Callithrix jacchus: one gene and its partner. The protein of the gene in region 1 purifies or fractionates together with the protein of each later gene. This does not show direct contact. Links are inferred from orthologs where the notes say so. Each region holds a gene or a part of one and is shown on either strand. Other genes may lie near its edges.

Region 1 (3,500 bases):
TGAAATCATCACAAAATGCAAAGATTTGTGGAGGTCCGAGCATCCTCCAGTATTCATGCATGGTTTCCAGCTGTTGTAGAAACACACACTGATGTGAAAACATGTCTATTTTTTTCTTTTTTTCAATTCTAGATAATGCTTTTTTTTTCCAAAGCCATGACTTAGAATTCCTGCTGAGTCTTGGGAACGCACAACAGTTCCACAAAAGCTGTTTGGGGTCATGACTCCAGCCAGCCCTGTCGCTGGACAAGTGAGTAAAGTGAAATGCACAGAGGCTGAGATTGCTGGTTGAATCGCTCCGGGCTGGGATGGAGTCTGCATCCCCCTGCTCTTTGCCCTTGTGTTCGTTCCCACCCCACTGATGGTTTTCAGATGCACCTGGAGTTAACGCCGCCATGTCTCCCTGCAGCCCTGCCCAGGTGCAGAGCAAGTCAATTCTAATCTGTGGGCCATCGGGAGAGTGTGCCCTTTTACCCAGGTTGCTTGACTCCTGCTCAGAGAAATCTGCAGTCTACGGTGGGAAGCAGCAGTTGATCAAATGAGGAAAGACGAAGCCTGAAGAACATACACAGCCGGTGCCACTTGCCCATCAGTGGGTGAAAGTTCAGGCAGGGCATGCCCCATACCACGTGGCTCCTTCCAGCAAGTGACAAAGGCAATGTGGAGATTTTTCCTCTCTCTACCAACGAACCATGTACCTCAAATAAAGGGAAGTTTTGCACATGGGTCTGCAGAACAGCAGACTATATTAAGAGATGATGTGTTACAAAGTAACAGAAAGCTCAAAACCACAAAAACAAAGCCTAACAAATCCTTTTCATTTCTTTAGGGGAAGCACAAAACCTAAGAGTTCCAAGAAACCATGATGTTATTTTGAGATTAAAAATATCTAACCACCTGTAGCTCAAAGGGATATTTTTTAAGCTAATACTCACTTTGTCCACACCAGCACTCAAAATGTAATTCCCCTTTCTGTTCCATTTCAAGGCAAAGATGGGGCCTTTATGCTGGCCTAAGGTGCTGGCCAGGTTACCTGTTAGTAAAAACAAACATATTGACTTCAGTGTCACAGGCTGTTCACTCAAGGGTTCCATCAGCAGCTCCTCTTACCCAACCCCAGCACGAGGGACACTGGACTTACCATCTTCCGTCCATATTCTTGCAAAACCGTCATATGAACCTGTAGCCAAGAGTGTTCCATCGGTCTGAGGGCCAGAAAGAGACACAAACCCACAAAAACAACTTAGGAGGGGCTCCCAGAGCCTCTCCCGGATCCCAGTACACTGGGACTATTTGCCACTGCGTGTTCCTTAATGACAGAATTAAAAATACCATGCTGAAAGTTATCACAAGACTTTGCAGAAAATAAAAAAGTAGTCAAACTGTGTGCATCCCACATGTCAATGCATATAACCCCTGCTGCTGAAATCCCAAGGTGGGAAGTCACCTTTTCTGGGCTGCACATCATCTTTCTCCAGGAGAACTACTCTGGGGCTTCCAGCCTACCTTCCCACCATGAGGCCACAGGCTCATTTTGCTACAGCATGCTCACATGCAAAGATATGGCTACTGAATACACAGCTCACTGTCTGCCAAATGCAGCCTTGTTAATAGCTCTTAGAAGCCAAGACTGGCCAGGCACGGTGGCTCACGCCTGTAATACCAGTACTTTGGGAAGCTGAGGTGGGTGGATCACATTAGGTCAGGAGTTCGAGAGCAGCCTGGCTGACATGGTGACACCCTGTCTCTACTAAAAATATAAAAATTAGCCTGGTGTGGTGCCGTGAGCTTGAGGCAGGAGACTTGCTTGAACCCAGGAGGCTAAGGTTGCAGTGAGTCGAGATCACACCACGGCATTGGGGCTTGGGCAACAGAGCAAGGCTCCATCTCAAAAAAAAGAAAAGCCAGGACCACCTCTCTGGCAGCCCCTCAGGGTGGGGCTGAGCACAGGGGACTGCCTGTCTCCTGTGTCTGCGTGGGCTCCATCCATCACTGCAGCCCTTGCCTGGTGGCTGGCAGGTTTTACCGATTTCAAAGTGCCCAGGGGGTGGAAGATGCTTACGTTCCAGTCCAGTGAGGTGACATCTTTGTTACTCGGGACGTCGTGGCCCCCTTCTCGTATACAGTGCCTTAACACGAGCTGGGTGGAGCACCCGTTGCTATTCTCATTCAGGTTCCATATCCTTGCAGTTGAGTCTCCGGAACTGCAGAATAAAAACACAGGAGCCTCTGGTGTTTGGTTTAAATGGGAGAAGAAGCTCTCCACTGCTTGCTCTCTGGCCAGATGGCATCTTTGGCACGTGCTCTTCTGTCTTTTTCATACCTCTGGATCCCTGTTTCCCTCCTTGCCTTCTTTGTGTTTGGTAATTTTAAATGCCTTTGTGTTCCTTACCACCCCATGGAGAAAATGACTTGGAACTATGGCTTCTCCACAAAATTGAGACATGCAGAGAAGAGCCGCCCACTCCCAGGTCTGCCCACACTGGGGTAATATGGGGAGTGTGTGTTCCTTAAGGCAGAACCCCAGAGAAAGGGAAGCAGCTCCCATCTCCCCAACCCTGGAGTGCCCCCATCCTGACATCCTTACCCAGATGCAAGCAAATCACTGACAGGGTTCCAGGCACAGATGAACACCTCGGACTCATGGCCCCGAAGGACTGTGGCTTTGTTGGATGGAATCTCAACCTCCCCATCTACTTCCATTGGCTTCACGTGATTATCTGTCATAGGAAACACAGAGAAGTAAGTGGCTTACCAATACAAAAGAAACGCTCTTTTTTTTTTTTTTTGAGATGGAGTTTCACTCTTGTTACCCAGGCTGGAGTGCAATGGCGCGATCTCGGCTCACCGCAACCTCCGCCTCCTGAGTAGCTGGGTCTACAGGCACGGACCACCATGACCAGCTAATTTTTTGTTTTTTTTTTAGTAGAGACGGGGTTTCACCATGTTGACCGGGATGGTCTCGATCTCCTGACCTCGTGATCCACCCACCTCGGCCTCCCAAAGTGCTGGGATTACAGGCTTGAGCCACCGCGCCCGGCCGTGAAACGCTCTTAAAGGGTGCTGTGGTTTCCAGAAACATCTTGTTTTTATGTACTAAGTAATACTACCTCTGATGATTCCTTTTCTTTTCTTTTTTGAGGTGGAGTCTTACTCTGTCGCCCAGGCTGGATGGAGTGCAGTGGCGCAATCTCAGCTCACTGCGAACTCCACCTCCCAGGTGCAAGCAATTCTCATGCCTCAACCTCTCAAGCAGCTGGGATTAGAGGTGTGTGCCAAAACACTGGAGTAATTTTTGTATTTTTAGTGGAGACAGGGCTTCACTATGCTGCCAGGGTTGGTCTCGAACTCCTGGCCTCAAGTGATCTGCCTGCCCCAGCCTCTCAAAATGCTGGAATTATAGGTGTGCGTCACCGTGCCTGGCCGACTTCTGATGATTCTAGGGAAATCCTGGCTTTAGTGCAATTTAGTAAATATTTTAGATTTCTTTATATTTTGAC
Region 2 (3,500 bases), on another chromosome or scaffold:
CAGCCACAAAAAGAACAAAATACCTAGAAATACAGCTAACCAGTGAGGTGAAAGACCTCTGCCACAAGAATTGCAGAGCACTGCTCAAAGAACTCAGGGTGACACCAACAAGTGAAGAAACGTGCTATGCTCATGGACAAGACGAATCAATATTGCTAAATGGCCACACTGCCCAAAGCAATTCACAGGTGCAATGCTGTTCCTATCACACTACCAATGGCACTCTTCACCGAATTAAAAAAAAAAAAAAACTATTTAAAAATTTATATGAAACCAATAAAGAGCCTGAATAGCCAAAGCAATCCCGAGCAAAAAGAACAAACCTGGAGGCATTTTACCCCACTTCAAACTATACTATTAAGATAAGATTACAGTCACAGCATGCTACTGGTATAAAAGCAGACACACAGACCAATGGAACACAACAGAGTCCAGAAATAAGGCCGCACACCTAACAAGTCAACAAAAGCAATGGGGAAAAGGCTCCCTATTCAAGAAATGGTGCTGGAATAACTAGCTAGCCACATGCAAGACTGAAACTGTACCCCTTCTTTTACCATATACAAAAATCAACTCAGAATGGATTAAAGACTTAAATATAAAACCTAAAACTATAAAAACCCTGGAAGATAACCTAAGAAATACCATTCTGGACATTGGACCTAGCAAAGATTTCATGACGAAGATGCCAAGAGCAGCTGCAACAGAAACCAAAATTGACAAATGGGACAGTAGAAAGAGCTCAGAACACCAACAGAAATCAACAGAGTAAACACAACCTAGAGAATGAAAGAAAGTATTTGCCAACTAAGCATCTGACAAAGGTCTAATATCAAGAGTTTACAATAAACTTAACAAGCAAAAAAGAAGCAATTCCATTAAAAAGTGGACAAAAGACACAAACAGACACTTTTCAAAGGAAGACATACAAGTGGCCAACAAGCTTACGAAGCAAAGCTCAACATCACTGATCATTAGAAAAATGCAAATCAAAGCCACAATGAGATAATGTCTCTCACTAATCAGAATGGCTACTAATAAGTCAAAAAGCAACAGATGCTGGCAAGGATGCTGAGAGAAAGAATGCTTATACACTGCTGGTGGGAAGTAAATTAGTTCAGCCGCTGTGGAAAGCAATTTGGTGATTTCTCAAAAAGCTTAAGACAGAATTACCATTCAACCCAGCAATCCTGTTAGGTATACACCCAAAGAGAAAGAAATCTTTCTACCATAAAGAGACATGCACACATATGTTCATCGCAGCATTATTCACAATAGCAAAGACATGGAAATCAACCTAAATGCCCATCAATGGTAGACTATATAAAGAAAATGTGGTACATATACACTATGGAATACTATGCAGCCATAAAAAAGGAACAAGATGCCTTCTGCAGCAACATGGATGGAGCCGGAGGCCATTATCCTAAGCAAACCAACACAGGAACAGAAAACCAAATACCACATGTTCTCACTTATTAAGTGGGAGATAAACATTGAGTACACATGGACACAAAAAAAGGAACAACTGACACTGGGGCCTACTTAAGGGTGGGAGATAAAGAACTGAAAAACTACCTATTGGGTATAATACTTATTGTCTCGGTGACAAAATAATCTGCACGTAAACCTGTGACATGCAATTTACCTATATAATGAACCTAAAAGTTAAAAAAAAAAAAAACACACTGCTCATGAGCATCTACTAATAAAGCAATCATTTTACTTCATAAAATTGTACTATACTAGAATTTGTCATTTCTCCTATAAATTCATAGGTCTCTTAGCAAATCTCAGGTTTACTCAAAACAAATTACAAACAAATTTTATCAAGTACAATATGTGCCATTAATTTCTGATAGATAATAAGAACTCTACCTAGTCTTAAATATTTAGCTACTGTACTCTGATGACACATACTCTGAATGTAATCTTGGCTGCAAACTAAGACCGTCTATTTTCAGTCGTTAAAGTACTATCACCTTTTTCTTTCTTTCTTTCTTTTTTTTTTTTTTTTTGTTACCCAGGCTGGAGTGCAATGGCACGATCTCAGCTCACCGCAACCTCCGCCTCCTGGGTTCAGGCAATTCTCCTGCCTCAGCCTCCTGGGTAGCTATCACCTTTTTCTAATAAAAGTAATCTAAATAGAACTACAGACACAGATACATATACTTACCAGCTTCTACAATAGCCGGCTTATTACTAGAGCAGACAGATAGCACCTTCAGCACTCTGCTTGTGGTCCACAGTAGTTTTTCATAAGTGTAGGTCCTCATTATATTTACTAAGGCTTGGGGTCCACCACTGGCCAGTATAATCAGCTAGAAAGATGTACATATACTGTTGGTCATGAAATCGTGATCAAATGTCTGAGAAAAGCTGTATTACCAACCTATTTTATTACACAAGAATTTCAGCCAGCTTGCCATTGGACCCCATCACTCAGATCCCCACACTGGGGCCCTATTCAATTTGTCCCTTTAAAGCATTCCACTCAAATTCAGACATCCCAGTCCTCCCAAGAATGTTATCAGTTTTGGTCCAATTTCCTTCTTCCCATACTGCTCATAGAAAAACAAAAAAAAATTTAGAAACCATGTTGGTATGCAACAGTAATGCCCTCAAAACTGACTCACTGAAATCTGAACCAGAACTGGTACTTAAAACTCCTAATCAATTGGCCCTTTTAATTTTCCTAATTATATCCACCTTAAAAACAGATATTATAAAAGGATCATTCACTCTTGCCCTTTCATTCCCTATATATCCTCCCTCTTGACACTGTCCCAATTCTCTAAAAACAAATTTCATTTCATGATTCTGAAATTTCCTATTGTGCTTTTAAACATGTTCTACAAAGCCCTATGAGATCTGCTGAGTCTATCTCAATAGCCTCACCTCAAGCCTTTCTTCCTCCTTCCTCATTAGTATTTCTTAAATTCTCAAAACTTTCCATCTCCTTCCTTCATTTCAAAGATGCTGTTTTCTTACCTAACCTTCACCTAGTGAATCCCTTCTCATTCTTGAACACTGAACTCAACTATCACTTCCTCCAAGAGGCCTCCTTGAACCCTGAAAAAGAGGGCCTGTTTCACTTGTTATGTGTTCTCATAGCCCCACTTCTTCCCACTACATAAATTAAATATTAATTAGGTTATTATTCTCAGCATCTACATCCCACCTTAGAACAAAAGTGTGAAGAGAAGCTTGCCTATCATATCCCTACGACTTAGCACAGTGCTTTACATATGAAAACTCAAAGATTTTAAATAGAAATGAGTTGGGCTGCATAGCAGGAGGTGAGTGAGCATTAGCCAGCTTGAGCTCCACCTCCCGTGAGATCAGCTGCAGCATGAAAGTCTTGTAGGAGTGGAAACCCCAGTGTGAATTGCACATGTGAGAGATCTAGGCTGCATGCTCCTTATGAGAATCTAGTGCCTGATGATCTGAGGTGGAACAGTATCATCCAGAAACCATCCCCACAACCTCATTCATGGAAA

The links.
Region 2: the proteins of TBL1X (region 1) and CTNNB1 purify together in Homo sapiens (affinity purification with western blotting; 4 studies listed by BioGRID). This does not show direct contact. The link is inferred for Callithrix jacchus from reciprocal best matches to the Homo sapiens genes TBL1X and CTNNB1.

What each region holds. Positions count from the first base shown.
Region 1 is NC_133524.1:9,907,829-9,911,328, reverse strand, and holds part of TBL1X (F-box-like/WD repeat-containing protein TBL1X), read right to left. Parts: intron 2,721-3,500; coding exon 2,588-2,720; intron 2,205-2,587; coding exon 2,063-2,204; intron 1,206-2,062; coding exon 1,142-1,205; intron 1,034-1,141; coding exon 936-1,033; intron 1-935. UniProt on the Homo sapiens protein: F-box-like protein involved in the recruitment of the ubiquitin/19S proteasome complex to nuclear receptor-regulated transcription units. Plays an essential role in transcription activation mediated by nuclear receptors.
Region 2 is NC_133518.1:79,023,169-79,026,668, reverse strand, and holds part of CTNNB1 (catenin beta-1), read right to left. Parts: intron 2,322-3,500; coding exon 2,177-2,321; intron 1-2,176. UniProt on the Homo sapiens protein: Key downstream component of the canonical Wnt signaling pathway.